Canis lupus familiaris: one gene and its partner. The protein of the gene in region 1 interacts with the protein of each later gene in a pairwise test. Links are inferred from orthologs where the notes say so. Each region holds a gene or a part of one and is shown on either strand. Other genes may lie near its edges. The genes, in order: CBX5 and PRR14.

The links.
Region 2: the proteins of CBX5 (region 1) and PRR14 interact in binary tests that used the Homo sapiens proteins (3 or more experiments, as listed by UniProt). The two-hybrid records come from large-scale screens. The link is inferred for Canis lupus familiaris from reciprocal best matches to the Homo sapiens genes CBX5 and PRR14.

Annotation. Positions count from the first base shown.
Region 1 is NC_049248.1:45,636,428-45,640,333, forward strand, and holds the start of CBX5 (chromobox protein homolog 5), read right to left. Parts: upstream 2,317-3,906; 5' UTR 2,157-2,316; intron 1-2,156. Other genes in the region: HNRNPA1 (heterogeneous nuclear ribonucleoprotein A1), read left to right, coding at 2,972-2,986, 3,538-3,654. UniProt on the Homo sapiens protein: Component of heterochromatin that recognizes and binds histone H3 tails methylated at 'Lys-9' (H3K9me), leading to epigenetic repression. In contrast, it is excluded from chromatin when 'Tyr-41' of histone H3 is phosphorylated (H3Y41ph).
Region 2 is NC_049227.1:17,677,455-17,681,360, forward strand, and holds the start of PRR14 (proline-rich protein 14), read right to left. Parts: upstream 2,815-3,906; 5' UTR 2,642-2,814; intron 2,107-2,641; 5' UTR 1,921-2,106; intron 1,124-1,920; 5' UTR 1,075-1,123; coding exon 1,052-1,074; intron 928-1,051; coding exon 759-927; intron 145-758; coding exon 23-144; intron 1-22. UniProt on the Homo sapiens protein: Functions in tethering peripheral heterochromatin to the nuclear lamina during interphase, possibly through the interaction with heterochromatin protein CBX5/HP1 alpha. Might play a role in reattaching heterochromatin to the nuclear lamina at mitotic exit.

The DNA of each region.
Region 1 (3,906 bases):
AGGGAGGAGGTGAAATGCATTTATTAGCTTAAAATGTCAATAGTGCTGTAAGAAATCCCGTAAGTCAAGACTATTTCTTTTGAACCTAAATAAATTAGGGAGAACTGTAATTTAGATCCCTTTAGTTCTTATAAACTCAGCAGAAGCAGCTGATTAGCACACCTACAGTTTATAAGGAAATACGAAATCAAGTTGTCCTCTTGCAAGTGTCAGAAAACACAAATCTCTCCAGTCTTCATTATATGGACAACTAAAATTAACTTTCCTTTGTATAATGTCACAAAGGTCTATAATCAGAAGTGTCCTTCATACACAGTTAAACGTATTACAGCATCTAAACATCTTTCTAATAACCTTATGCCATTGATCAAGAGGGCAATTTAGATTCTGATATAACCATTATGTAACGAAAACGTCTTTATTTTTACTAAAACATCTTCAAATCAGCTGAATGGGTGTTACCAACAGGTGATTACAGTGCCTGTAAAATAAACACTTTGAAGAAAATACAATGAAGGCAATGGAATAATCCAGGTGATGGAGGAGTCCTCCTACCCCTAACACCCTAAATATCATCCATGTTAAGCAATTTGTCAAAATTCAGACATCCTTAGAGGAATAGCAGAAAGAGTCTCGGAAACTTTTTAATGGATGGGACGCCTGGGTGGCTCAGTGGTGGAGCGTCTGCCTTGGGCTCAGGGCGGGACCCCGGGGTCCTGGGATCCAGTCCCGCATCCGGATCCCTGTGGGAGGTCTGCTTCTCCCTCTGCCTGTGTCTCTGCCTCTGTGTGTTTCAAGAATAAATAAAATCTTTAAAAAAGAAAAAAAAAAAAAAAGGAAAGAAACCTTTTAATGGTGTAAAGAAAGATACAAAAGTTCACAGAAGAGACTGAGGTAAAAAAAAAAAAAAAAAAGACTGAGGTAAAGGCGTGGAAACACAGATGATGCGTGTAAAGGGTTTACTTACTTAGCACAGCGTCTCCCTGGCAGGTACTAAGTACACAAAAGAAAGTCAAGTTTTTAAAATTGTGTTTTTATTCTGAGCATCACCGTGTTAGTTCCGCCGGCGCGCGGGGGGGCGGGGGGGGGGGGGGGAGGACAGCACTCTCTCGTGGTGTAGGGATGACACAGGGGGAGGGGAGGAGCAGGGGATCGTGCCTGGAAACACGAGGGCTGCCTTTCCCATCTTCACCGAGTCACAAACTGCGATCCCTGAAAGGACTTGAGCGGGAGGGACGCCACCTGCCCGGATCCCACCCGGGCCCTGGACACGGACGCACGGCGGGAGGCGGCCCTTCCCACACTTCTCCTGCGGGCTCACGAGCATCCGCCACCGGTCCGGGGAAGGCCGCGGCGTTCCGCGCACACGTGGGTCGGCGCCTGTCCGCGACGGCAGCGGCTCTTGTTCCGATGCGCGCGGACGCTGCCGGCCAAGCGGGTTCCCGACGACCGGCCGAGCTCCCCTGGGAGCCTCCACGCGCGGGGCGACCAGAAGCCCCGGGGTGCGTGTGCGCGTGCGCGTGCGCGAGCGCGTGGAGCGGTTATGCCGAAGCCGAAGCGACACGCCACAGAGTCAGGGTCTCCCTACCGGAAACGCGTGTGGGGTGAAGGCCCGAGCGCCGGGCGCCGGCGGCCACTGTGGAGAGAACGCGCGCCCCCGCGCCCCCGCGCCCTCCCGCCCGCTCCTCCACAGCCCGCAGCGAGGCCTCCCGCTTCCGCACCGCTGACTGGGCGACCCGCCCGGGCGCCGTCCGCAGGCCGCCCGCCGCCGGCTCCACAGCGGGGCCTCCCCCTCGGAGTCCGCCCGCCGCCTCCGAGGAGCCCAACCTACGGCGCGCTCGGCGCCCATTGGCTCGGCGGGACGCTGCTCAGGGCGCAGGGCCCGCCCCCACGTCCCGAGGGCCCGAGGGCCCGTCCGTCGGCGGCAAAGGCGGACCCGATTGGCCCGCGCGCAAGCCAGTCAGACTCCGGGCCGCGGAGCCCCACGGCACTCCCGGCCGGCAGACATCCCGCCCCCGCCGTCCATTGGTTGGCTGAACCCAGCGCTCCCCCTTTACGAGCCCCCACCCCGCGCTCCATTCATTTCACACAATAACGGGCCCAATTGGAGTCAGTTCAACACCTCGTATGAGTAGGCGAGACGATCCGCCGCTTACCCGGAATCGAGACCGGCCACTCGCGCCAACGCCTCCCCTGTTCCTCTGTGGCGAGGCCGGACCACGGGACGCCGCCGCCGCCGCCTTCTGCGCAACGCCAACCGCCCGCCAAAACGGATCCTTCCCTGCGCCTGCGCGGCCAATCCTGCGACCGGACCCTTTCTCCGCCCATTACGCCTGCGCAGAGCGGGGCGCGACTCCCGCCACGACGCAGGCGCCGTAGAGTCGCCGCCGTCTCCCGCCCGCCATTTCACGTGCTCCAAGCGCCGAGCGGAACTGGTTAGTGCGCCTGCGTAAACTCGCCATTTTACTACACATGCGCCCGGCGGGCGGTCGTTTGCAAAAAAAAAAAAAAAGAAAAAAAAATCACCTGATAACCTCGTTCGTAATATATTAGCATTTACCGTGCTTCGCCAACTGAGCGGAACATAATTTCGGGGCGGAATGGATTGAAAATTCATTTAAATACCTTAGGTTCGTTCAAATATGAATGACTGGTTGACGAGCCAATCACAGTAATTAGGAATAATATTACCCGGGAACCAATAGACCTGAAGGGGCGGAGCCTGCGTAGAACGCCCAAGCGGATGACGTTGCGCAGCAGTGCGGGGCTATAGACCAATAGCAGGGGGAGGCTATCGCAAACATCCAATCAGAGACGCTCAGGGGCGGAGTCTACCAATGCCTAAAGCGAGGAGGCGGGATAAAAAAGCGAGGCCGAAGGTAGGCTGGCAGATACGTTCGTTAGATTACTCCTTTCTGCCCCTGGACGCCGCCGAGTAAGCATCGTTAAAGTCTCCCCTCCCACCGCCGTCATGTCTAAGTCAGAGGTGAGTAACACGCTGTCTCCCGCCTAGTTTCCTTCCTCACTCCTTCCCTGGGGCCGGTAGGACGCGGCCTGGCGTGGCCGCTCGCGCCAGCCCGTTCGGCAGCCCTTCGGGGGCCGCCAGGGCCTTCCCCTCCCGAAGTTGAGGTCGCCATTTTGTCCTCGTCGTCGCCATGAGGCCGCCGTCCTGCAGCGCTTGGCTGTGGCGCCGGGCTGCGCCCTCCCGGCAGAACTCGCGGGCGCATTCGACGGGTTTTGTTTGATCGTGTCTCCGGGAGCGAGTTTCTTGCGGAGCAGCCGTAGTTCCCCGCCGCTTCGGCGTCCGTCCAGCCGAGTCCTTTTGTTGCGCGTGCGTCGGAGGGAGAGTCGGGGCGCATGCGCCCGCGGCCTCCCAGCCCCCACCGCTCGGTCCCCCCCGAGGGGAGAAGCACGTGGCCTCCCGTAACCCGAGGGAACAATACGTGCCTTGTAACGCTGCTGTCTAGGATTTTCCTCCCAACGGGACGGGGCTGGGCGTTGGGCGCGCCACGTAACGAGCTGTGTCCCCGCTCCTAGTCTCCCAAAGAGCCCGAGCAGCTGCGGAAACTCTTCATCGGAGGTTTGAGCTTCGAAACGACCGATGAGAGTCTGAGGAGCCATTTTGAGCAATGGGGGACGCTTACGGACTGTGTGGTAAGACGTGCCGGAGACGGAGGGCCCGGGAGCGAGGTGGCTTCCGCCGCTCCGACGGCGGTTAACGGGACTGGGGCGGAGAGCCGGCCGGCGCCGGAAGGGGTGGTCCCAGCCGCGGAGGCGCTCCCGGGAGGAGATGCACGTGTGGCGGCCCCGGGGAGCCGGAGGGCCTCGTGGGCGGGCGGGGGGGGGGGGGAGGGGGCGCGCTTTTCTTTTTTTTTTTTTTTTTCTTTTTCTTTTTTTAATTTGTAA
Region 2 (3,906 bases), on another chromosome or scaffold:
CCCTTCAACCTGCCATACTCACCTGGTCTGTGAGGACCATGTGGCCTGTTGGGGTGGTGAAGCAGGTGGCTGGCTTTGGATAGAATCCCGCTGGTTGCTGCGGTGCCGTAGGGTGGTAGTCTCTTCTTGGGGCACCAGGGGAACCTAATTGAGAAGGAAGTGTCAAGAGCAAGGTGATGAAATGAGATGGGACAGGACAGGACCTCACTGAACCTAACAGTGCCGTATGCCACAAAAGTGATAGAGATTGTGGCTAGAATTCACTTAAGAACCCAAAGAAATGAGTTGAACGGAATCAGTTCCAGGGCCAGATATTATAGTGTCCTGAGCTGCAGTAATCTCACCCAGGCTGTTTGGAGAAATGAAAAGGAGTGACCTTAGGTGAGTCACTGCCCTATTTTGGGCCTGTTTTCCTAACCTGTGCAATGGAGCTAAAGACCTCAGCCTGCTTCCCAAGAATAGCTTGGAAGTTGGGCTGGGGAAGAAAGCAAGGGTTTCTCATACTTAGAGAGTTGTAGCCATGTGGTTCTATGCCCAACACGGTTGATGGCGGGGAATGGGCACTAGAGACCCTGTCCAAATATAGGTAGATTCAGCAAGAGCCAAATAGAACTCTAGCATTAGGGAGGCTGCCTGAGCAATGGGTGTGAGAATGAGGTATCTGGATCTCAACTATCCTCATTAGTGATCTGGTCTGACTTTGATACTGAAGAGGGGACCAGAGGGAGGAAGGAGGCCTCTCAGTTCAAGGGGCTCACCATGTGGGCAGTCATAACATCTTCCAGCACCACAGCCAGGACCCTCCGAGAGGCCTTTTCCAAAGGTGAAGGGGCCGCCAGAGACTGCAGTCTCGGCCGTTTGGGGCTCCTGGCTCCCCATAGTACTCGAGCCAGGGGCTGGCGGCACAGACGTGGCCGGCCAGGTGGGCTGGAGGATGAGAGAAGCAGAGGACGGTCGCCTGAGACTGTCGTTGGCTCTGTGGTTTCCCCGGTACGGCCGCCAGGCTCCCCGTTTCCCGTGCTCAAGACAGGCGGGCGGGGTGCGCTCTCACCTCGAGTCCCCGGGCAAGTCCATGGGGAAAGCGGCGGCTCCGGGGAGTCCCTGGGGGATCCCAGGCTGCAGCCTGGGATGGGGAGGGGGAGCGGGGGAGCGGGGAGTGAGGGCCAGTCCCTCCCCAGGGGCTCCGCCCTTCAATGGTCAGCCCGCCGCTCCGGGTAGCCCATGGGCCAGAGCCCTAGGGAGTGAAAGGGCGCCCCCGGCTGGCCGCCTGGAGCGGGTGTCTTCCCGCTGCCGTCGCCCGAGATTAGTGGATCACCCGCGCACCCGGACTGGCACTTGCCAGGAGAACCTGGCTTGCAGTGGCCCCGGTTCTCCCACGGCCCGAGCTTCTGGGGCCTTTGTCCCCGCAGAATCCGCCCTGAGATCCCCCAGGATCAGCTGGGATCCCGGTCCTGAGAGGCTCACTTTCCGCCGGGTCCCTCTGCAATCCTCATCCACGGCCAGCGAGTGGCCAAGAACTCCGAAGCAATACTCCCACACACTGACGGTGCCCCCCGCCCCACGGATCCCTTAGACTGGATCCCTGCGGAAAGAATCCTACAGCCCGGTTGCTCCAATCAGACGCCGCGAGGATCTTCCTCTCCCTGTGAGTTTGGGCTCCGCAAAGCTCCACTCAGACAGGGGCAGCCCGAGCCTGAGCATCACGAACTCGGTCCGGATCCCCAGGGATCCACTGTCAAGCAGATACCCCCTTCACTCCAATCCGGGGAGGTCCCGCCCACAGACCCTCTCCTTCCCCCCTCCCCGGCTCCCCACCCAGCGCTCTCCCCAGCCCAGGACCAGATGGTTCAAATGTTTCCTTCCCTCCCTCCTCCCGCCCTCTCTCCAGCCGCTCGGTGCCCTCCTCCGCGCGCCGCTCACCGCCGCCTCCCGCGGATCCCGGGTCTTCGACGGCTCCCACCTCCGGCTCCTTTAAAACCAGCCTTAGCCAGCACTGCCCAACCGCCGAGGGCCTTCTTCTCGCAGCCCTCGGGCACCGCCCAATCGCCGGTCCCCGTCTTCCGGAGTGGTGAGAAACTAAGTGAAGCCACCTGGCAGCCATCTTCCCTAGGGGCAAGAAGCCAAATTGGGCAGCGCTGCCATTATAGCTGAGGGCAGGTAGCTCTGTCCTCGATGAACCGAAGTGGACCGGATGGTGTCATTTTCTGAAGGCCAGTCAGTGGCCGAAGACTAGACCAAGTTTCTTGAGCTACTGAGGCAGCTGTAGTGAATAGAGTGCCGCCACGTTTTTTAAGGGCATCTTCCGGTTCTTTGGTTCTTAGGTTAATAAACGTGAGCTGAATACTAACGACATGTGAAATTCCCAATTTCCTAGAGAGGCCTCACTGAGAGCGATTCTGCTACCCTCCGGGAATCCTCGAGTCCCCCCAAGGCGCTGAGATGTGGGGGGAGGGACTAAGAACCTGAGACTAGGGATAGTGCCGCCTCCGGCTCCAGGGTTTGAGCGATGTACCGAAGAGACTGAGCGGAGCCGAAATTGGGAAGAGGCTGGGGACATTGACCTTCCCGGAGGTGTGGGGGTTTGTGCGGCCCGCGCCGAGGGCTCAGTATAGGGGCGACATCGCAGGGGATCAATAACCACCTTGGCGTGCTCGGTGGTGTCCAGCGCCTTCCTCTCTGTTCCAGGTTCCCACGAAGCCAGTGTCAAGGGAAATAGTCCTTAGTAACAGTACTACTACTACTACTAGTCCTTAGTAGTAAGGGATCGGGGATGGAATCGAGCTGCTTGAGAGGCTGTATCATGCAACCTTTACCTGGAGCCAGACTACTGGTGGCGAGGAAGTGGGGATGTAGTAGCTTCTTGCACGGTGAAGGCACCTTCACCGCCGAACCAGAGGCTGTGCTTCCACTAATACCCAGAATTCTCCTATCCCAGAATTCCCTGTACTTACTTTCTTGGTGGAACAGGAAAGCCTGAAGCCTAGAATCCTGGGTCTGTGGGATGAGGGTGCCGAGTACCCAGCCAGTATAATTCTCTCTTCTGGGACTTAGTGATAAAAATGACACAGAGAGGATGATATAGAAAGAGCAGAATCAGGGGTGGCTCACCCAGAATCCCTGGGTGGCTCAGTGGTTTGGCGCCTGCATTCGGCCTATGGCGTTATTCTGGGGTTCGCGGATGGAGTCCCGCATCCGACTTCCTGCATGGAGCTTGCATCTCCCTCTGCTGTGTCTCTGCCTCTCTGTGTGTGTCTCTCTTTCTTTAAAAAAAGAAAGAAAAAGAATCAGCAAGGTGGTGTGGAAAATGAAGACTCCCCAACTCTGAAGCAAGGATTCATCCAGATAGCTCTCTCAGGATTACAGCCAACTCTCTTCCTAAGGCCTGCTGGGTCCTCTGGAAATCCATGATAAGACTTCTGATGAGAGTAGGTGGCAGCTCTTCCAGCTAGAAGTGTCCTCTCTCCCTTGGATTCCTGCTGGCTTTATGGGGCTTGAAGATGTTCCTTAGGGGTACAGAGATGCATCCAGCTGTGAGTGCTTGGAGAACCTTCTCAATCTTGATAAGCTGAGAGCCCCTCTGTAGGCTCTCACTTCCCTGTTGTTGGTTTTTTTTTTTTTTTTAAGATTTTATTCATTTATTCATGACAGACACACACACACAGAGAGGCAGAGACAGGCAGAGGGAGAAGCCGGCTCCATGCAGGGAGCCCGATGTGGGACTCGATTCCAGGTCTACAGGATCACACCCTGGGCTGAAGGCAGCACTAAACTGCTGGACCACCAGGGCTGCCCTCACTTTCCTGTTTGAACAGGTGCCTCTCAAGCCTCACAGGGCAAGAAAAGCTCCCAAGAGCAGAACATGCCTAATCAGAGTTTTGATTCCCTGGGTCTCCTGAAGAAGTCAAT